Linked DNA regions of Kluyveromyces lactis. The protein of the gene in region 1 purifies or fractionates together with the protein of each later gene. This does not show direct contact. Links are inferred from orthologs where the notes say so. Each region holds a gene or a part of one and is shown on either strand. Other genes may lie near its edges. The genes, in order: RAD23, RPN9 and RPN12.

Region 1 (7,770 bases):
TTCCATTTATCCAGGGATAAAAAAACTTTTTTTTCTCATTTCTTAGTCCATTAATATATTACTGAATTTTTTTGTTCATATCAAAATCTATTCGGATCTTGGAGCTTCCTTGAAGGAGATGGCAGCTTCTTCACCCATAGCGGCAATGATAGTAACCATCAAGTCCTTACCTTCGTCGAAAGCAGCTTGGATGTTGTCACCCAATTCACCTTCTGGGGCTCTGACATCATCCTTGGTTTCACCGTCCATGGTCATCAAAGACAAGAAACCGTCATCGATATCCAACAATTGGAATTCAGTTCTCTTAACAACTGGGACTTCCATGTTGTGAGTAGATGGAGACAAATCTTCCAACTTCTTGTTGGTGAAGATATCGATGGCAACCAAATGGACCTTAGCGTGACCGTGCTTACCGGTCTTGGAAGTAGACATATCAACAATCTTACATGGTCTGCCCTTGATAACGACAAAACCGTTCTTTCTCAAAGCAGAACATTGCATTGGGAAAGTCAAGGAAGCACCAGCTCCAGCAGTTTCGAAAGTGTGTTCTTCTTCAGCCATGTTGTATATGTGTGATTTGTTTAATGCGTTTGGTCTACTATCTGTAGTGAAAACAAAATACAATTGAAACCAAGTAAAACTGAATAACTAATAACAGGATAAAGTTAAAACAGAAGAGAACAAGAAAAACTAATTAAACAAATGAAGAAGTTTACAAAATCATTCTGAAACATATACAAAATGGACTAAATACACTCTTGTAAATGAAAAAAAGCTTTAAATTCAACTTTCCATGAAGAAAAAAACTCTTATAATTTTGTTTCCAATATATATAAAATCGAATATCAAATTTTTTTTTCTTTCTCGTCGTCGAACTGAAAAAAAAAGTTTGAAAAATTTAGTTTCGATCATTTTGTACAGAGAGAGTGAAAGAGAGAGCGAGAGGGAAAAACACCGATGTATTTCATAGTCGTGTAAAGTTTGTAGAGTGTGAAAACAGAAAGAAAAAGCAATTCGTACGGTAGGTCTTTTTTTTCTACTTTCCCATCGTCTTCTCCCTTGCTATTCTAGTCTGCTATGGGGATTGTATGTTTTCCAAATGGCATATTCTAGTTTTTTAACGGCATTCACTGACAGATCGAAGTCAATAATATAGGCAACGTTGGCACATAATTGTATCGGTTGCGGAACGATTTGTATAATGTACAATTTTGATACGTAGTTGTGTATAATTCATCTTTGATGGCGAAGAGCTGGGTGGATTCGCCAGTCGACAGATCCAAAGAACCTGAGGCCGCATTGAGGGAAACAGGCACGGACCATGATATATCACCGTACACGGTAAGCTCACGGAATCCTCTCGTAAGCAGTAGGAAAAAGGGAAACCCAACGATGCCCGGGTAACATATACATATCACTATACACGTATTTATTTGGTCCTTTGATTGCCGCCTGGCATTCCCAGGCATTGGAATGAGATGAAACATGTCACGTGACTGTACGGGAAGAACAGACATCCGCTATCTTTCCAGCCTTTTTGTTCCGTTATGTTGAATGGCCGTAGTAGAGGTTCTGTTACAGTGCGAAAAGGCGGTAATTGAGCCGGGAAAAAGTAGAGTTGCTTCTTATCTACAACAACTTACGGTCCCCAACAGTGCCCTGAGAGTTGAATCACTGGTTCCCACACCTTATAACTGCGTGTAGGGTCTGGCAGTTCCTTTTTATTTACCTTTTCCAAATTTCAGTTTATACACTTTTTTTTTTTTTTTTTTTTTGGCGAAGAAATTGAAATGGATGAAAACAATGCAACTATACAATCGAAAATAGTAATATTTTATAAGTATTTATTATGGCACAGACCATATTATCTGTTGCAAACGCTAAAGGAAAAAGGTTTGTCATTTAAAGCAGCCGATTATTATTCCAGAAGGTGTCATAATACACAGGGTTAGCACCGCCCAGGATTAGTGAGAAAGGAAGAACACATAAGGATCTTTTGACGAGCGTGCATTTTATAGATCTATTGTGAAAAATTGCGGTATCAAAATTTCTTCGAACAATAAAATACAATCGCTAAAGCTGTGGAGGAATAAAAACATCCGGATCCATCGCTCTTTACTTTTGAAATCACTTCTATTCTCGATTCCTGGAAATTCAAATATTCTACACAACGTCATACAACCGTCATAGATGGGCAGCAAGGGTAAGAGCAGGTTCAATGCCTTGACTGCTGTGTCCGTGATAGGATCAGTGGTAACGGGGTTTCTTATAATTCGAATGATTTTCCCAATCATATGGCAGTTCGTACCGTTCGTCTCAAGTCCTGTAACTGGTAACAGGTTCAGAAATATACCTGGAGTGGAATATTACGATTTAATTAATTATCAGGGGAATGCCAATGGATGGCAGACCGGTGATAGGGTGGTGTTCTGTGTTCCTTTGAGAGATGCAGCCGCACATTTGGATATGTTCTTCGATACCTTGGATAAATTGACATACCCACATAACTTGATTGATCTTTCATTTTTGGTCAGTGATTCAAGCGATGATACCATGAAAACACTTCTTTCTCATTTGAGAAGAGCTCAATCAAACCAAGACAAATCGAGAAGATTCGCTAACATTGAAATTTTTGAGAAAGATTTCGGTCAAAGTGTGGGTCAATCGTTTTCTGATAGACACGGGTTTGCAGCTCAAGGCCCTAGAAGAAAATCCATGGCCAGAGCTAGAAATTGGCTTGGGTCAGCGGCTTTGAAGCCGTATCATTCTTACGTGTACTGGAGAGATGTCGACGTTCAAACTATACCGAATACTATTTTGGAAGATTTAATGCATCATGATAAAGACGTCATTGTTCCAAACGTCTGGAGACCTCTACCCGATTGGTTGGGAAATATACAACCATATGATTTGAACTCATGGGTTGAATCTGAGGGTGGATTACAATTAGCTGATTCTTTGGATGAAGATGCTTGTATCGTAGAAGGGTACCCGGAATACGCTACATGGAGAACACATTTGGCCTACATGAGAGACCCAAGCGGCGATCCCGAGGTCGAGATGGAACTAGACGGAATTGGTGGTGTTTCCATCTTATCTAAAGCTAAGGTCTTTAGAACAGGTTCTCATTTCCCTGCGTTCTCTTTCGAGAAACATGCTGAAACTGAAGCCTTTGGTAAATTATCACGTAGAATGCAATACAGTGTTGTCGGTCTACCTCATTATGTGATCTGGCACATTTACGAACCTTCAAGTGACGATTTGAAACACATGGCCTGGATGGCCGAGGAAGAGAAACGTCGGGTTGAAGAGCAAAAAATTCAAGAGTTCTATGCTAGAATTTGGGATATTGGTTTCGATGACGTGAGAGATGAGTGGGAGCTAGAAAGGTTACAAATTTTGAAGAACATTGATCCGAATGTCCTAGATAGGAAGATTCAAGTGGACTGGTCAGATGATGATGAAGCAGATGATGGTTCAAGGAACGGAGGAAATAATCAAGATTCACATGAAGTACCACTGGACTTTGATCCTGCTCATTAATAATTTTCTGTTTAGGCAGTGAAGAGTAAAGAAGATTATAAAACCCACAAATACATTCTTCACTAACGAGATATTTTTTAAAAAGATATCTTAACCATCTAATTTCAATTCTCATCGCTTCCATCCCCTATTATTATTCAATTATTAGGCAGACTGTAACACGTTGGAGTATCTAGTTGTACAATATGCACCTTAGATCATTATCGAGGTTTTTATCAATAGACTTTTTTTTACATTTACGTTTAAATGCATTATATACTAATATTGTACTTGCAATAATCTGTTCATTTTGTTTACTTCAAACCATATTACTACTGGTAACTATTACAGGCAAGCAAATACTGAAAACACGTTATCAAGCTGCATTAAGCTGTAATTTTCAGCGTATTCCGGAGTTCTGCATCTTGTCAGATACCTTCAGTTTTTTTTTTTGTCAACATCGAAAATGAAAGTTGAGAACAGTGAAAGAAATTGAAATTAATGCCAAATCAACTTGAATCTGATGGCTGGGTGGCAAAGAAGATAAAGTCAAGAAAACAACCGTTGAGACAAAGTCCAAGAAAATCACAAGCATAATGCTTATTAATTTTAAAGATTTCAAAAAGGAAAAACTACCTATTGAATTGGCGGATGATGCCACCATTTCACACGCCAAGGAATTGATCGCTGAACAAAAACAGTGCGATGCATCTCAAATAAAGTTGATCTACGCAGGTAAGATACTCCAGGATCCTAAGACCGTATCAGGATGCAATCTTAAGGAAGGGGATCAGGTTATATTCATGATTAGCAAAACTAAGAAAAAGGCTGATGTTAAGGTAACTGAATCCACAACTGAACCCCAAGATGAATCTCAAGCCACTGCTTCTGCAGAAACTTCTGCAGTTGCAAATGCACCTGCGGAAGCTACAACCACTGGTACAAGAACAGGTACTACTGCAGTTACACAAGAAGAAGGGACGACTGATGCTTCGTTTGTCACTGGTTCTCAACGTAACGAGACTGTGAACAGAATCATGGAAATGGGTTATGATCGTGAACAAGTAGAACGTGCGCTTAGAGCAGCATTCAACAACCCTGACCGTGCAGTGGAGTATTTGCTTATGGGTATTCCTGAAGCCAGTGAGCCATCGCAGCAACAAGCTGAAGCTGTAACTAGTGAAGCTGGGGCGAATGCTAATTCTGAAGTTGCAACAGACGTGCCATCACAATTCACTGAACATGAAGACAATTTATTTGCACAAGCAGAAGCCAATAATGGCGAGCAAGGTCATGAATCCGCTGCTGGTTTAGGTGGAGAAGAAATGGGCACAATCGGATTGACTATGGAGGACATTACACAACTTCGTGACGTTGTATCTGGGCGTCCAGAGGCTTTAATGCCACTTTTCGAGAGTCTAAGCACGCGTTACCCACATCTCCGTGAGACCATGCTGCAAGATCCACAAAGGTTTATCTCTTTGCTATTAGAAGCTGTTGGCGGTTCCCTAACCGATTCTTTGGGTGAAAATCTGGGAGATGACATAGCAGAAGGTGATCTAGGTGATTTCGGGGGACAAACTCAAGGCGCGCCTCCCAATGTTACTATCTCAGCAGAAGATGAAGAAGCTATCAATAGACTTTGCGAGTTGGGTTTTGAGAGGACCTTGGTGGTGCAAATCTACTTCGCATGTGACAAAAACGAAGAAATTGCTGCCAACATGCTATTCAACAATTACGCTGATTGAATGTAGTATGATTTTTCAATAAACCATCGTCTCTTTAGGCATGTAGGGAAAGAAGAATATGTTCAAAATAGAAAACAAAAATAATTATCTCTACCAAATTTGTTTAATAATATGGAATATGCGTACTCATATCTCCAGCATGTAGTGTTTGCCAATCCAAGTATGACCTCTATACCGTCAGATTTTCCTACTACAGCGAAGGCATCCCACATATTCATCTTCCAATTTTTGCACACATACGCACTCATAATGAGCAGTTATACTTAACCAACCTTAGTCAATCTGCAACAGACGGAGCGTGGTATGTTCGATCTCTTACTTCCAACTTCAAGTAGGATTTGTGTTACAATCAATCAGATATCCCCTTCATTAATTTTTTTAAATTTATTCATCATTACACTATATCCTTAGTCCCAATTCAGAGAACCAGTGTACCTTAGACATGTCTTATATAGATGAGAAGTTATTAAGCGCTTTATATTTTTCTGCATTAGATACCGGGTTGTTTCCAGGCCTCAATGCCAAGATGGTGCTGATGCCTACATCCAAAGCTGCGTCTAACTCCTTGTCATTGTCGCTAATAAACACAACATCACTTGCTGATGATGGAGGCACTCCAATGCTTTTGAGAATATTGGTGTAAGATTGAGGTTCAGTTTTCTTACCGGACGTGTTAATGTCGAAGTAGCCAGCAATGGATTTCGTTAAATCGATGTCCCCTTCTACGTGTTGGAACAAGAGTATTTGCGCCTTTACTGACCCTGAGGAGTATATGTAAACATTAGGAGCATGTCTCTGAATGAAATCAATTGCATCTGGATACACTGGCGCCTTGATCTCACCACTCTTGTAACCCTGCTCCCAAATATACCCTTGTAATTGCTTCAACACGGAATCCTTGATGTCGTTATTAACTAGCGATTCAATATGTTCATGCAAAGAAGAAGCATCTTGTGGGACAGGAAATTGGGCAAGTAAGTTCTGCAAAGTAGGGTCATTAGTCTTGACAAGAGATTCCACCTGTTTCAAGAAAAAAGGGTATAGCGTGTCTTTAACAAATGAGATAGGGCAAACCGTACCTTCAATGTCCAAGATATATTTCAATTGACTCATTGTCACTTAATTGAAATCTCAGTTTTCCAGTAAACGCAAATAACTGTGCCTTAAAGCTCTTTTTTCTAATGACTGTGATTAATTCCAAGCTCCTATTCACTAGGCGTACCGAACCAACATGGTCGTGAAGAACATCAGATTGGAATAGGTTTACAAAATATTCAGTTTTACAGTTTGCGAGATGAGATGCGGAAATCAGTCTTGCGAGAATGGAATGAAGCATAGGCAATGTTGGACAACGGCTACACCTTCCTAAAAAGGAAAAGAATGCAGCTTAGCTTAACTTGAAGGTTTCCCAAAGAGGATACTGGAGACGGCGCAAAAATTAAATAACTGAAAATATGCCACAAACCACGTGATCACGACGGAACGTTCCACACACGAACCCAGACATCACAATGCGCAGTATTTTCCTGCTTATCTATCGTAGCAAAACCGCGTTAGACAATCCTTTCGAGTGGATTGAATTTGGTAATCTAAGATTAAGGGTATCCATTTTGACAGGTTTCTCGGTAGGCCGATCTACAGTTGTCAAATGAAATGGCACTACTTCTATGTAGTTACATTATCTTGGGGCAAAATGTATAACGTGATTATTCTAAGATGGGAATAGGCTAGCGATCGTAAGGCTGAATTCTGTTTATTTACTTTATGTTGTTCTTAACGATTGAAAGACTGTATCTTTAGATCTTGTTCAGTTCGTAGTTGAACTGATGCGGAGGGGAGATACAACTAAGCTTCCTGCTGTTAGTATGGTCAGACGGTTTTTCGCTTTGTAGGGGTACATCGTAAACAATTCATTTTGTTAGAGTCGCTTGTGAGAGGATATTATTATGCATTATGCGTAGATACCTCGATTGCAATACAGATATCATTGGATAATCTAAACAAGGTAGCTCCTGCCGGTTGCTTACTTTAAGTTCCATTATGAGGGAATAGGATGATTCGAAGCAAGTATTAGTCTTGAAATTTATTTATAAAGGGCGTCTGTCAGAAGGATGGTTCTACTTATTCGTTGTTTGTTAACTCACATATTTCTCTATTACATCTTTGCATCCACTCAGCAAACAAAAACTCAAACCTCAAACAAGTTTTATTATAATACAAAGATATACTCATGACTGTCGAAAACGAAAATAACTCTTACGTCTTCCAAGGATACATCACTAAAAAGTTACCTCATGTCAAACGCGGTGAAGGATGCAGAATTGTCGTTGAAAAAGATGGCAAGTTACATGAAGATGTCTTCGATGGCATCACTGGTGCTGCTGTCGGGGCATTGGGATGGGGTGATGAGGATATCCATGGGATCATGACAGAAGCAGCCAAGAATCACACTTACACTTTCCCATCTTTAATCGGTAATTCACAATCTGAAGAATTGGCT
Region 2 (8,162 bases), on another chromosome or scaffold:
GAAGCAACGTCGTGAAAGAAACAGATTCTTGGATATTGAAGCCGAAGTCAGTGAAGACGAAGACGACGAAGAAGATGAAGAAGATTCAGAACTAGTTCGTGAAGGTTTCATTACTCGCGGTGACGAAGAAGACGAAGAGGATCGTGGTGGTAGAGTTGATGACAGACTGCATAGAGAATTAGATCAAAATCTTCAAAAAACTGCGGATGAAGACATGCACAAGATCGCTGAAGACTTCAAGAAACGTTATGGTCGTGACTCTTCCAAAGATTACCGTGTACAAACTCAAGGTGGGTATGTACCTCAGAGGTTTATGTTACCAAGTGTTGATACTGCTATTATTTGGTCCGTTCGTTGTAGACCAGGGAAGGAGAAAGAACTAGTGAGAAAGTTGCTAAATAAGAAGTTTAACTTGGATAAATCTATGGGCTCTAAAAAATTAAAGATTCTGTCCATCTTCCAAAGAGACAATTACACAGGAAGAATCTATATCGAAGCTCCAAAACAATCTGTTATCGAAAAATTTGTCAACGGTGTTCCAGATGTCTATTCTAATCAAAAGCTTTTGATTCCCGTGCAAGAACTACCTTTACTATTAAAGCCTACCAAGTCAGATGAAGTGAGACTTGATGTTGGTTCTTATGTTAGAATTAAAAGGGGTATTTATAAGAATGATTTGGCAGTCATTGATCAAATTAGTCAGAACAACTTAGAAGCTCTATTAAAGATTGTACCCAGATTAGACTACGGTAAAAATGACGAAATCGACCCAGATACAAATCAGAGAAAGGCAAAGAGAGCAACGTTTGCTAGTAGGCCTCCTCCTCAATTATTTAACCCTACTATGGCATTAAGGTTAGACCAAGCCAACTTATTCAAAAGAGATGACAGGCACTTCACTTACAGGAAGGAAGATTATGTTGACGGTTATCTTTTCAAATCTTTTAAGATTCAGTATCTTGATACAAAGAATATCCAACCTACGGTGGAAGAATTATCAAGGTTCGGCAGTAAAGAAGGTGATGTCGATCTAGCAGCTATTGCTCAAACTATGAAAAAAGCTCAAGCTTCTAAAGCTATGTTTCAACCAGGTGACCGTGTTGAAGTGTTGACCGGGGAACAACGTGGATCTAGAGGTGTGGTGACTAGAAGTTCTAAAGACGTCATCAGCGTTAAACTATCGGGCTTTTCAGATAAATCATTAGAGTTCCCAATTGCATCTCTAAGAAAAATTTTCGAACTTGGTGACCATGTCACAGTAATAGCTGGTGAACATGAAGGTAACGCTGGTTTGGTTCTTTTGGTGCAGAACGGTCAAGTCACATTTGTTTCTGACCAAACTAGAGAAAATTTGACAATCTCTGCGAATAACTTGAGTAAATCTATGGATTCTACTCCGACATCAAGCGAGTACGCTCTACATGACATTGTTGAGTTAAGTGCCAAAAACGTGGCATGTGTGATCCAGGCTGGACATGATATTTTCAAGATTATTGACGACTCCGGTAAAGTGGCTACTGTTACTAAAGGCTCAATTCTTGCCAAGATCAATGTAGCAAGAGCGAAAGTAGCTGCTGTCGATGGTAATGGTAGAGAAATAAAAATTGGCGATGTAGTAAGAGAAAAGATCGGTTCCCGTAGAGAGGGACAAGTACTCTACGTTCAAAACCAACATATTTTCATTAGATCGAAAACAATAACGGAAAATGCCGGTGTTTTCGTTGTTAATCCAATGAATGTCGAGGCTGTCGCCTCAAAAGAAAACTTGATGTCGTCAGCATTGGATTTATCTAAAATAAATCCAAATATTGCGTCTAAGATGGGACCACCACAAACTACTCAGCAGACGCGGTTAGTTGGCCGTGACGTCGCTTTGAACAAAACTGTTAGGATACGTTCTGCGGGATACAAGGGGCAGTTGGGTATTGTCAAAGACGTCAATGGAGATAAGGCTACTATTGAATTGCACTCCAAAAATAAGCATATTACAATAGACAAAAGAAAACTTACTTACTTCAGTCATGAAGGTGGTGAAGGTATAACATACGATGAACTTGTTAGTAGACGTGGTAGAACTCCACATACCAGATTGGGCCCAAGCTATGTCAGTGCACCAAGACACATGGCTGCCGGTGGTGCGGTGGCAACGAACACTCCGCAACAACTTCCTGGTGGAATGACTCCTGGTTGGAATGCATTTGATGGCGGTAAAACTCCTGCGGTTGGCCAGAACGGAGGAACTTCATCCTGGGGTGGTGCTTCGACATGGGGCGGACAAGGCCCTGGTGGTGCTTCTGCCTGGGGTGGAGCTGCTGGAAACACTTCCACCTGGGGTGGGCAAGGTGCTACATCAACTTGGGGTGGTGCGTCCACTTGGGGTAATAAATCTAGTTATGGAGGCGCCTCTTCTTGGGCAGCAAGCGGAGAATCAGGAGCAGCTTCTGCCTGGGGCGGTGGCAATAAATCAAGCTATGGAGGTACTTCTACCTGGGGTGGTAACCAGGGAGGTGTCTCTGCCTGGGGTGGCAGTGGTAATAAATCACAACGATCTAAAAACACCGGTGGAAGTTCCACTTGGGGTAACAATCAATCGCAGCATAACTCAGGAGAGAGATCCGCATGGGGCAATGCATCCCAACACAACAATAGCGGCAATAGATCTGCTTGGGGTAATCAGGATGCTAGAGGTGGTGGAAGTACGTGGGGTGGAAATAATTAGAAATAATCATACAAGTTATTGCCTCACGATAATTTACAAACCTATCAATTGTTCATCTTATTATCTCCAAATTACTCCACGCGATGTGGATGTTGTATATATAGTCTTGCCCAAATTAGTCTCAGAAACCAATTAAATAAGTGAATTAAGTAAATGTAATTTAGTTAAAAATTTCGTTTCTTTACTACAAACCGATACTACTATAGAACTCTTAAATCACGTCTATTTCAACGGTAGTTATTGCAGTGTGAGTGTTTTCTATATACATGCAAATGGTGTGGTTAAATTGTTAAATACAATTCATTAACGTCTTGCGGTACGTAAGAAGTCCAATGGTTTCCTCTCTGCAACCTTTCTTTTCTTGGCCTCTTTGAACAAAACATGACGTTTAGCTACAGGGTCGTACCTCACCTGCGTCACTAATGGTGCAGCTCTATTTATCGTGACATGACGGCTCACACCTGTCATAGCAGTTGATATCAGTTTGATAACTGTAGTCTTTGTCTTAGCCTTGGCCATCGTTTTCCTGTTCGTTTGCAGTTTATATATGATATCCTTAGCTCTGTGAAATTCCTTGAATTTGAATTTGAGACAGAGAAGTACGCAGGATAATATTACTTTCTGCCCTTAATACTTTCCGATGATACACCGTCCTATGCAGAAATTGATGAACTCCCACTACTTTCAGTATTGATTGGGTCGGATACATTGCTAAAGAAGAAGTAATGGATAATCAAAATTTTGTCAAATCACTACATACGTTTTGATGAATATGCAATATACATAAAAATGATCCGTACTTCATATCACGTGAAACAGATACATATTCACAAGTCAAGTTAAGTATTCGCATATAGTTACTCTACGCTTTTATCAACAAGAAGGTATTAACTGAATTGATTGGTGTACACAGTACGGTATAATTAAGGTAACTAATTAGTGCTGGAGCTTACGGATCTCTGTTACACCCGTGCAACACGATATACATTACTGATGAAAATTTTGAAAATTTTCCAAAGCTCATCGCATAGAGACAGAGGCAAAATCAGCGAAAGAGAAGAGAAAAAAATGGAAATTCAAATGAGTTCTAAGTTACCTGCTAAAATAAACGTAATGGTAAGGTGACCCTAGAAGGTGCATAGGGTTTCATCCAGCTGTTTGATAGAAGAAAGGAGTATACTGCGCCAAGTGTATCCGATTTACGTGTTTCAATAAAGAACTGAAACAAAAATTTGAGACTATCATCTGTGCGAAGTTTTTTTCTTCAAAGAGAATTAATTGATATCGATCAGATTATCTACAGACCCATAACTTGAAAGGAGGATATTTGACATACCTCAAATCAGAATTGGGCTTCTTAATTGTTGATAGTATAACACGCGTCTAGAAATTAAAGGAATTTTTTCTACAATCCTATTTTTTTAAGGAGATAATACAAAGATTCACAACATGTCAGCTATTCCTGAACCAAGAATCATCGAGAATGACGATGGTTCCAAAACCGTCATCAGTTTCAAAATCCAAGATGGTAAGAAGTACAAGGTTACGCAGAAGGTTAAGGAAATTACTGTCACCGAGAAAGTTAACAAGAACATCGCCTTGAGAAGAAATTGGAAGAAATATGGTGCTGATAAGGGAGCTGCCCCAGGACCAGATATTTCAACCACTCAATTAGGTGAAGAATTAGAGTTAGACTTGTCTCCTAACTGGAAGGAAATGGAAGAAGAAAAGGCAAAGGAGAAGGCTGCTAACTCGACTCAAAAGGTAATTACTTGTAGAATTTGTGGTGGTGCGCATTTCACCATGCATTGTCCGTACAAAGACACTTTGGGAAAGAAACCTACTACATCTGCTGGTTTAGACCCGGCTATCGGTGGTGGAGATATGAGCGCTCAAGGAGGCTCTGGCTCTGGCAGATACGTGCCACCATCCCTACGTGCTGGTGCTCGTGATCCATCTTCTAATGCTTACCAAGACCAAAGAGAACGTGATGATGCAAAGACTATTAGATTGACCCAGGTTAACGAACTTGCAGATGAAGAAGTGCTTAAAAGAGAATTACTCTTCCCATTCGGTGAGATTCCTAGAGTATTCGTCGTCAAGAACCCAGAAACTGGTAGATCCCGTGGTGTTGCTTACGTTACTTTCCAAACTGAAGAAATTGCTGCTCAAGCTTTGAAATTATTGGAAGGCAGAGGTTTCATGAATTTCATGTTACACGCAGAATGGTCTAAGCCAAAACCAAAGAAAGAAGAATGATAAACTGTAAGAACTCGCTGATCAAACTGATATAGTATTTTTTGAAGAGAAAAACTACTTCAAAACTAAGTTCTAAACCCATTATTTCAATACCAAGGTCTCTTTACTTCTACCTTCAAAGTTGTTGCATCTTATCTTACAGCTTATTTGTTCCCTACAATTTATCCCATTCCTTTCATAACATGGGATATCTCTGCGTAGCGTGACGTATGTGTATCCTAATAATCTTACTTCCTGGTTGAACAAATGAGCATATCACTCAGCATCATACGGTTATATTATATGACATTCTTTGACCCATTTTGCTCTCGAACGATACAATAGCATATGTGTATAATTACTACATTCGAGTACTATGTGTGTTACGTATCTACCTGTATATTACAAACTCCAAGATATATCGTCTAACTCTTTCAGAAATTCAAACCGATCAATGAAACATGTTGGTGGATTTCGTTTTTCATAGATATTAAGCGGATGTACGTAGTATATAATATGTGACGATACTTAAGCATTATACCCAAATACTTTTACCCCTTCCTTCAATCTTATTACCCAATTTCGACACTTCATCTTGCCATTTTATCAAGTTATCTTTCATTTTTTTAATTTGCTCTTGGTTGATGATCCTAGGCTGAACCCACGTAATTGTAACCAATTGTTGGACTTGATCTATTGATCCCTTCAACAATCCTAAGCTGATACTTCTCATTACTAAATGTTCAACACTGTCGATAGGTAAAAATGTGGCATCTGCAATATCGCGGAAAGACAACGTTCTGATAGACTTTGCAAACACGCTTTCTACTAGAGTCATCAAACAAATCTTTTGTCTCAAGAATGACTCATGTTGAGCTAAGATTGGTACCTTGGGAATTCTTTCTTTTGAAATTTGATCAAACTTTTGGAAATCCCCTTCAGTTAATGCGTTCAAGAATCTGAATAACCATTCGTATTCTTTATCGTTTGAAATACTTGAAATAATTGGATGCTGAAGTAGTTCACCGAAATTATAGATATTGTCACCTAACAATGCTGCAATGCACAAATTGTATGCCAATTGTTGTTGTTCGAGTTGTGTCAATCGCTGCTGTTGTTCTTCCGAAGTGATTGTTGAGAGATATAAAAGACTGGTATAATAGAAATTGTTGAAGTCTTTCTTTACTTGGTAATAGGAAGCGTTACACGAGTAGTAGGCACCGGTAACTCTGAGAGGTACCGAATCTTGAACATCAAGTGTTTTCCCAATAGCGTCTAGGATGTCTCTGACCTCAACTAGGTCCCCCTTTTCCAATTTCACACGAGCAATCTCAATATCTAACAACAAGTTCCCATTTACATGAGGTTTTAAACCATCGTTTCTTTGCTTCTTTTCATCAATTTCTTTGAATTCCTTTTGAAGATCCTTTAGATATTGTAATGATTCTTCTGTGTCATCGTTTTCTTGTAATGCTTGCAACAAAAACTCAACAACATTCAATTGGTTTATCTTGTCAATGAACTTACTGACAAATTGGGTATAAAGGCGAAGTCTGAACGATTCTGATTTGCTATCATGGAAAAAAATCGCTAGCTTCTCAGTTAACTGATGCCATAGCTTCCTCTCATACAAGTCTTCAAAATCGTCGAATAATGGGGCCAATTCACTATTGACTTCCTGCTTCAATGTAGATAATATGGTGTCAATTTCGTGTGTCATATTTTGACTATTTAAGCTTGCTGAAGTGCTGTTAGTCGTGCGATGTATGCCTTAATCTATAATCTTTAATATTCTGTTCGCCACCTTACATTTCAGAAGGTGTATCGATCTATATATTTCATATTTACAAAACGTCAATCGAAGCATGAAAGTCGTTAATAATGACAATTCTCCAAACAAATGCTGTGAGAAGTGGATGAACTAGATATGTGACAGCAAATCATCTCCATCTGCACTTTCATCATCAAATAATGTAGTTCAATGCAATACTTCATGCCTTTCTTTTTGAGATATAAACCTTTTATATGCTATCTATAGACTGTTTGGCATTTTTCCAAGACTCTGAACAATCCTTTAACCATGATGTTATATTGTGGGCTAGTTCGCGGAAAATGAGGAACCACTTCTCATGGAAATATTTCTCTAAGTTATTCAAAGAGTTATCCATTGACTCATTGACTTGTTGTAAGTCCTTTTCGATGAGTTTGAAACATTCATTCAGTTTTTCAAGTTCCTTTTCTAGTTTGTTTACCTGTACAACCCGTTCGTCTTTAGTTAGAAGATGAGGTTCGACTTCACTTGAAATCGAATCAGATCCAGACTTGTTGTTTGGAGATGCTGATGACCTGAAAAGCCCCATTATCTGTTTGTCCGTGTGATTCTTGTTTGCTGACTTACGCGTCATGGAGTCCATAACTTGAGCAACGGTGGGTGATTCCTCTGCATTTAATTTCAATGCCTCGCCCAATCGTACAGCTTGTAGGTCTGCCTCTTTCAATTCACGGATTCTATCTTTCCTCTTCTTTATCGTAGTTTCAATTGTGTAAAATTGTTCTTGCTTGAAATTTCTGAAGTGAAGAACTCTTTGTGCTTCATGAATGAACTGAAGCATTTCTTTGCTTCCCTCTTCTAGACTGATCATGATTGCTTCACTAAATATCTCTGCACTAACATAATTCACATCGATTGCTTGACCTGTCTTCTCTATTCCCATCGATAGACGATTCATTTGTTCAAATAATGCACTCACTTGAAACACGCTATTCTCTAGACTGAACGCGTTGAAATACGCGCCGAGTTCAGATAAAACAGCCGAATAAGTTTGAATATTCGACCTTATACTTCTAACGGTCTTGTTCAAAGGTTGTAGGATCGCCTTGTACCTGATGAGATCTGAATCGTAATCCGCGAACTTGATCTCCATCACATCGTTCCGGCCTATCAATTGTTCATGCTTACGCATTGTCAGCACCGTAGGTGTTGGCAATAATAAATGTATGGGGCTTGGTTTCGTGGGATTTAATGGAGGCGCTAAAAGATTATTCATTGGTAGGATTGAGATCGGTGGGGTATTTAAAACTTCCTTCCAGAAATATTCTGGATTCAAGAATTTTTGAAACACGATATGATTCCTTATCTCTCTCACTTTATGGCAGTTATTTAAAAACCTTGATAATAGCCTCTGTCTTCTTTCTATAATTTTGA
Region 3 (7,625 bases), on another chromosome or scaffold:
ATAGACGGATCCCATTTGAATGTGGAGGCAGGCAGGAATTCAGATGAATTTGACCTTGGAATGTAAAGCGCAAACCACTATTTGGTTCCGACTTGACGTTGCGAGTGGCAGTTTCTGGATCATTTGCGTATATAAATATATAAATATGTTGTTCTATCGTAGAGTTCTTTCCTTTTCAGTTGTAGGTTTTGTCCACTGTGAATTGTTATACCATCATTTCTTAATTACAGACAGCCCCAAGTTTTAAAGTATACAAGTCTCATTACTACTTACTACTACTACTACTACTGCTGTGATTAATTGCTATTTTACTAGAAATACTACTAGTTATAGCATCATAAGAAGAGTATTAGAGCTAACGCAAAAGCTAAACTTTTAGATTACATTACATAAATATCAAGAATGGTTCGTTTAGGTCCAAAGAAGCCTCCAGCCAGAAAGGGGTCCATGGCAGATGTGCCAGCTAATTTGATGGAACAAATCCACGGTTTGGAAACTTTGTTCACCGTCTCTTCAGAAAAAATGAGAAGCATTGTCAAGCATTTCATCAGTGAATTGGACAAAGGTTTGTCCAAAAAGGGTGGTAACATTCCTATGATTCCAGGTTGGGTTGTTGAGTATCCAACTGGTAAGGAAACTGGTGATTTCTTAGCTCTTGATTTGGGTGGTACCAACTTGAGAGTTGTGTTGGTTAAATTGGGTGGTAATCATGATTTCGACACCACTCAAAACAAGTACAGATTACCAGACCATTTGAGAACTGGTACTTCTGAACAATTGTGGTCATTTATTGCAAAGTGTTTGAAGGAATTCGTCGATGAATGGTACCCAGATGGTGTTTCTGAACCATTGCCATTGGGTTTCACTTTCTCATACCCTGCATCTCAAAAGAAGATCAATTCCGGTGTGTTGCAACGTTGGACCAAGGGTTTCGATATTGAAGGTGTTGAAGGTCACGATGTTGTTCCAATGCTACAAGAACAGATTGAAAAGCTGAATATCCCAATCAATGTCGTTGCATTGATCAACGATACCACTGGTACCTTGGTTGCCTCTTTGTACACTGATCCTCAAACTAAGATGGGTATCATTATCGGTACTGGTGTCAACGGTGCTTACTACGATGTTGTTTCTGGTATTGAGAAATTGGAAGGTTTGTTGCCAGAAGATATCGGTCCAGATTCTCCAATGGCAATCAACTGTGAATATGGTTCCTTCGATAACGAACATTTGGTGTTGCCAAGAACCAAATACGATGTTATAATCGATGAAGAATCTCCAAGACCAGGTCAACAAGCTTTCGAAAAGATGACTTCTGGTTACTATCTAGGTGAAATCATGCGTCTAGTACTATTGGACTTGTACGACAGTGGTTTCATCTTTAAGGACCAAGATATCTCCAAGTTGAAAGAGGCTTACGTCATGGACACCAGTTATCCATCTAAGATCGAAGATGATCCATTCGAAAACTTGGAAGACACTGACGATCTGTTCAAGACTAACTTGAACATCGAAACTACCGTTGTTGAGAGAAAGTTGATTAGAAAATTAGCCGAATTGGTCGGAACAAGAGCTGCAAGATTGACTGTTTGTGGTGTTTCTGCTATCTGTGACAAGAGAGGCTACAAGACTGCTCACATTGCAGCTGATGGTTCTGTCTTCAACAGATACCCAGGTTACAAGGAAAAGGCCGCTCAAGCCTTGAAGGATATCTACAACTGGGATGTCGAAAAGATGGAAGACCACCCAATCCAATTGGTGGCTGCTGAAGATGGTTCCGGTGTTGGTGCTGCTATCATTGCTTGTTTGACTCAAAAGAGATTGGCTGCCGGTAAGTCTGTTGGTATTAAAGGCGAATAGAATAGAAGATAGAGGATGATTTCCCTCATACAATCCATTATGAGGAATTAATCTAAAGATTTGCTATTATATTTTTTTTCTCTGTTATGAAGTTATTAGATCAATCCAATTCATGATATCATTAGTTAACAAGCTTTGACCATTCTGGCTTTCCAACATCGACATAGAGACATATAAACATCATTTTTCTATATATGTAGGCCGGAACAGATTGTTCTTCGCAAATGTAAACTAACTTATGTGTTAATGTACAAATATGAATATATTTCAAATTTAAATCTTAATAATATTAGTTATGCTTATGTCCAGTTTGGATAATATGGCACTAGTTATTTTAAAACTATTCAAGCTTGAAGTGTATATTTTTATGATATTACCTATACAATACTTTCTAAATGAACAGCATAGTCAATAGCCATATCCACGGTATCCCCACTCTCTATCCTGTCTGGAGTTGAATCATTTCCAAATGTGATAACGCCATGGTTGACGCTCCAGTCACGTTCTTTAGCGAACGCCTCCATCTCCTTTTCATTCTCGAAGAATAGTAGAGTCTTAGCGTTGAACAATGGTAAGGAGCTATATGCTTGTTCAGAATTCAAAGCAATTTCCTCTCTTATAGCCTCTTTCAAAGTCTTTGTGAAAACATTGAACTCTTCAACCTTAGAACCTGTTTGTAACAGATCCCAAGCCTTTTGATAAGAACCTTCCATCAAAAGTCTTTCCAACTTTACTGGATAAGAGAGGTACGAACTCTCTTCCAAATTCGTAACGTATCTGCTCAAAAACTCAAATTCTGAGTGAAGTTTAGTGTAATCGTTTTGTGCTAGCAAGATTAATAAGTACAAACTTATCAACTTGAACTTGCTATCTGAATCACTCAATTCTTTCACATCAGAAAAGTAGAATGCGCTTAACTGTGAGTAATAGTTCATGAAAGTTTCAAAATCCTCACAGTATATGCTTGAAAGTGCTCCTATCTCAAGTATCTTCTTTGCTATATTCAGATCCTGTAGATAGCTTTGATTTTCCTTAGCGCTTTTGATATCAGGTATTAACAATTTTGCTTTAATCAATTCAATCTTGATAGGAAGTAGTAATCTCAAACATGTTTCATATTGTTTGCCCTCAAAGGCAGTCTTCAACCCCTTGGTTAGCTCTGGTAACGATGGCATCTTGGTTGCTGTCTATCTCTGTCCCTTTATTTCGGTGGCAAAACATATTCATGCAAGGTCTGAGTTAAGTTAATGTTGATATTTTCAATTTCACTGAATCTTGAATTTCTCATTACATAGTAGTAGATTTATAGGAACTTTGAACAAATGAAAGCAGGCAATGGGTAAGATAGGACACAAGATGCGCCGATCGTATTGCAATAGGTATTAACAGGCCATATCTAATCAATTGCATACGGATCAGATTACCATTTTTTCTTCAGTTTTCGGCTTTTTTTATTACTTTTGGTGGAGTTCACTGTACATTACTTCTTAAAAATACACAAACATGTATAGGATTACTTATATAGTAGCAGTATTTTCTGCTAGAGACACATGCTGCTGTTTAATACTGCAAAGTGCAATTACACTACGACATATTGTTCACTCTTCAAGGTAGATACGGTGTCGAATGGTAGTTCAGTGTCATCTGCGGCAGATACAACAGAAGCAATATTTAGGTTAGACAATGGTTTGGCATTGCTGTTCTTTAAAGCAACTTCGATAGGGAATAACGCATCTTCATAAGCAGCTTGGACAGTAACACTGAATACGCTTGACTGACCGGATTCAATTGGGTCCACCTTAATGATAATACCTTGGGACTCGTCAATGGCCTCTACGATTGCATTAGCCTCGTTTAGATCATCTTTGATGAATACAGTATCGGTGAAGACAGGAATCAAGAAGCGTAATTCATCGATAGTTCCTTCGTAATCACTGTTGACTTCATATTCAAAAGTAACATCAATGGCATTATCCGTTTCTGAAGATGGAGACAACCATGTTGAAATTTCTAATGGGATCAAATCATGTTCATCAGCACCCTTAACCTTACGCCATCTTAGCACACCCAAACTTTGATCATTGGATGGGAATGGTTTGTTAGGATCTCTTAGCCCGATCGTTTTGTTAGTTAAGAAACCAGCCTTGTCCACATTTGGATGGGTTTTGAATTGATACGTTTTGTCCTTGACATTGACGTCTGTACCGAGACATAGTTTGGCATGTGCAAGATCAGGGTTATTAACACGTAATTCTAACACACCCTTTAACTCTGAGCCCATGATAGCACCATCACGGGAAATTTCAGCGTTAATAGTTTCTTTTACGCTAATTAAAATACCATTGTTGATAGGCTTTTCTTCTTCAGGCAGAGTTGCTGTTTGAACTGATAATGATTGTCTTTCCACGTTCTTGATCGGTCTTTCAACGCCTCTTCTTGGCCCATTGACTTGCAAACCTTTACCACCCAAAGGCTCACGGTTTGCATACTGCTGTTGCTGTTGTTGCTGTGGTGCTAAATTCTGTTGTTGAATACCTTGATTAGATTGCGTGTGCATGTGTGACTGTTGAGCCGCGGATGAAGCATGGCTGTAGTAACTGTCATACGCCTTGTTCATAACACCACCATGGATACCGGTGAATTCCTGAGTGTCCGGAATACCCAATTTTCTTGCTTGTTCCTTTCTCGAAATCTCTTTTGCCCTACGCTTTCTTTCTTCCGCTGCTTCGAATTCCTTATTACGTTCAATAATTTCCTGTATTCTTTCCTCATGAGATTCCATTGCTAAGAAGGTCTTAATCTGAGTTAAAGATAGATTCTCCTTGTAGCCCATAGTAATGATTTCATCGAATGAGTTCAAGATATCGAACGCACTATCGAAAACATCTTCCTCACTTAGACCCTTCAGAGTAGAATCAACCGTTTGCACAAAAATGTTCAACGTGTCCATATCCTGGATTATATTGGAATGAAGATTCGTAATCAAAATAATATAGTAATCATCAAATGGCTTGTAAACATATCTGACATGTTCATCTTCAACAAAAGTGTGCTGCTTTGAGGAATTGGCAACTAAAGTCTGGAAATTCGACAACAATTCCATAACACGATCTTTCGTGATATCTCTGAATTGTCTAGACAATAAAGGCTTACCCTTACGAGTAGTGATAGAAACCGCTAGTACAACCATGATTATCAAGCCCTGTTCTCAATGTATCACGTCACAGGTTTCCTGGTGCCTGAATCAAAACTTTAACGAGACTATTATGCTTTCGGAATGATACAGCTTTGCCAGGTTCGTACATTTTTAACTATTTTCAAGTTTTCTATTTTGATATGTTTTGGTTCAGTTCCATTTTCGAAGGGAAAAAAAAGGTTCATCAAAATCAGGAAACCAATACTAGAAGAGTTCGTTCAATATGACTGGTTGAAATAGATCGTGAGTTTAGCTTGGATGGGTAAGGTTCATTCGAGCCGACGTATGAGAATGAATTTACTCTGACCAACTCATTGTCACAAAATCATCAATATGAGCTAGTTGGTATTCTGTGAGAAATTTGCCATATAGTAGGGCTCTTTTTCCATAACTTATTGATAAGAATTCTTCTAATGAGGTGAGTGACAGAATACTTTCAATTGCGATTGGATTGATGTCGAAATGTTGTAAGACCTCTTTGCTAAGGCTCATGCGATAAATTTGCTGTTCATTGGGCGTATTGGTACCACAATATAATGAAATCCACGTTGCTGTTAATTTGAGTTGTGTTTCCTCAACTAGATGAGTTGTTGTCCCACCGAGACAGTTTAATAAAAGTTGGGTCTTGTAAGCTAAGTTGGAATCTAACGCTAACGATCGTTCTGAGTACGATAAGAAGATTACCACTCTTTTATATTTACACTTCAATTCTTGTATTGCTCGGAGTAACGGGAAGCTGTCGACCTGTTTCTGATACACTGAAGTAATATTTCGAAGAATGAGACAGGTAGATGCGTCTAACAAGATATCCGAATGATCCCCCAAATCCATCTCAAGCACACAAAAGTTGTTCTGATGTAAGAAATTGATCAACTTGTAGTTTTTGGCAATATACTCTGCATTAAAAATGATTACTTTCTCTTCAGCATTATGGAAACTTTTATCGCTTAATTGGAAAGTGACATTGGACATTGTAGATTGCTCAACTGTCTCGTTCAGAGTAGCAACTGGGTTAACATCACCATTAGATATGGAGAGTCTCTTCAATTTGGACCGTTTGGCTGCTATTATGCTTACTAAATCTGCGTTTATGAAAGAGCGTTTCCCACTTGTCATTATCCTTTTGTTTGTCACTTCATCGACGTCAGTAGTTTCCTCATTTGCAAGAGAATCAATACACTGACTAGACTCTTGGACATTCTCTTTAGATTTTGGATCGAACTGATCATAACTGATAGCATTTACACTCCTGAAGCTAACGGGAATTTTGGATACCATCAAATCAATTTTGGAACTTGGAATTCTTTTGAAGACAAGCGCATAGGACGTACATCTAACTTGTACATCTCTTAATGATTCAAGTAGTTCCGAGTTTTTTGGCAAGTTTAACTCTTTGAATGGATTCCAATTTAGTCTTTTGATAATTTCGTCACTTATCCTCCATTTTGGCTTAATAGGCTTACTCCTGTAAACTGCTTTCCTCTGGAACTGATCAGCTTTGGGGTTCTCAAGCTTGTATAACTCCAGTGGATGAAAATCCTCATCTTCACAACAAAGCTTTAAAAACTTGATACTGCTATTCTGAATTTGATTCGACTGCCAATGCGGTAATCTGGCCGACGAAGTGTATTCTTGACTCGTTTTTTCCCTCGTTAAAGTTTGGATGTACTGGATTTTGTACTGCTGAAAAGATTGTACCTTTACTGTTTTAAACTGTATGTCCATTGTTGTCATCTGGCGCTTCGGAAGATCATAAGATAAAAACTCTTCATAAAGTTCCGATTCTCGTTGTACCAACCTGCTATGCATTACTGGAAATTCACAAGAGTGTCTAAGTGTTCTCCCTAGCGGTTGTAAAAAGTCCTCATTTAACCGATATTTAGCATGTACATTTTGATCGAATTTATTCAACCTAACAGAAAGGTCCAACTTTGTTAAGGCAGCACTGAACAAATCTTTCACATTATCTCTAACTATAATCTTTTCTTTGTATAGTGATCTTGTATCTACATTCTGATTGCTGTTATATGGTGCCTTGCATTTCCATTCCGGATTATTCCAGGGCCGGATGTATCCTTTGACTAAAATTGCAGTGGTATCGAATTCAATGATATATTTCACCAAAGATGATCCATTTGATTCCTTCTTGCCGACTTTGTGAAACTTTAAATCAATATCACTCCGAGTAGCCAATTTCAAGTACCTCTTTGTCGGCCTATTCAATTGTATGCTTTCTCTTAGTCTCTTCTCTAAATAACCGCCGAACTCTTCTTCGAATATGTTTCTCAACTTTAACGCTGAAGTGTCCCACATAGCTGAAACCATATTAGGAGTGCAGTATAACTGTTTAACTTTCGAGAGTCTGAAACAGATGAAATGCTTTCCGCGCTCAAGTTGCAGGGTTGAGAACCTTGTAAGTTTTGACAGTTCTGAAAACGTTCTTTAATATTACAAGTTTATATATCAGTAGATAATGTTTAGAAATAGGATTTAACATTTACACGAGAGCTTTAGTTTATTATTTCAATATCCGAATCCGAATCCTTCAGACTAGCCTCATCAGAGTCCA

The links.
Region 2: the proteins of RAD23 (region 1) and RPN9 purify together in Saccharomyces cerevisiae (affinity purification with mass spectrometry; 5 studies listed by BioGRID, with this or other methods). This does not show direct contact. The link is inferred for Kluyveromyces lactis from reciprocal best matches to the Saccharomyces cerevisiae genes RAD23 and RPN9.
Region 3: the proteins of RAD23 (region 1) and RPN12 purify together in Saccharomyces cerevisiae (affinity purification with western blotting; 4 studies listed by BioGRID, with this or other methods). This does not show direct contact. The link is inferred for Kluyveromyces lactis from reciprocal best matches to the Saccharomyces cerevisiae genes RAD23 and RPN12.

Annotation. Positions count from the first base shown.
Region 1 is NC_006041.1:1,972,135-1,979,904, reverse strand, and holds RAD23 (Rad23p), read left to right. Parts: upstream 1-4,118; coding exon 4,119-5,270; downstream 5,271-7,770. Other genes in the region: KLLA0_E22199g (uncharacterized protein), read right to left, coding at 88-561; KLLA0_E22177g (uncharacterized protein), read right to left, coding at 1,128-1,517; ANP1 (Anp1p), read left to right, coding at 2,191-3,543; putative acireductone synthase UTR4, read right to left, coding at 5,718-6,383; KLLA0_E22089g (uncharacterized protein), read left to right, coding at 7,501-7,770. UniProt on the Saccharomyces cerevisiae protein: Plays a central role both in proteasomal degradation of misfolded proteins and DNA repair.
Region 2 is NC_006038.1:62,799-70,960, reverse strand, and holds RPN9 (proteasome regulatory particle lid subunit RPN9), read right to left. Parts: upstream 6,678-8,162; coding exon 5,493-6,677; downstream 1-5,492. Other genes in the region: transcription elongation factor SPT5, read left to right, coding at 1-2,719; MRPL39 (mitochondrial 54S ribosomal protein bL33m), read right to left, coding at 3,023-3,238; TIF35 (translation initiation factor eIF3 core subunit g), read left to right, coding at 4,169-4,978; SNX41 (Snx41p), read right to left, coding at 6,979-8,162. UniProt on the Saccharomyces cerevisiae protein: Acts as a regulatory subunit of the 26S proteasome which is involved in the ATP-dependent degradation of ubiquitinated proteins.
Region 3 is NC_006040.1:972,969-980,593, forward strand, and holds RPN12 (proteasome regulatory particle lid subunit RPN12), read right to left. Parts: upstream 3,036-7,625; coding exon 2,238-3,035; downstream 1-2,237. Other genes in the region: KLLA0_D11352g (hexokinase), read left to right, coding at 403-1,860; RET2 (coatomer subunit delta), read right to left, coding at 3,440-5,050; ZIP2 (Zip2p), read right to left, coding at 5,354-7,381; RMR1 (Rmr1p), read right to left, coding at 7,567-7,625. UniProt on the Saccharomyces cerevisiae protein: Acts as a regulatory subunit of the 26S proteasome which is involved in the ATP-dependent degradation of ubiquitinated proteins. Necessary for activation of the CDC28 kinase.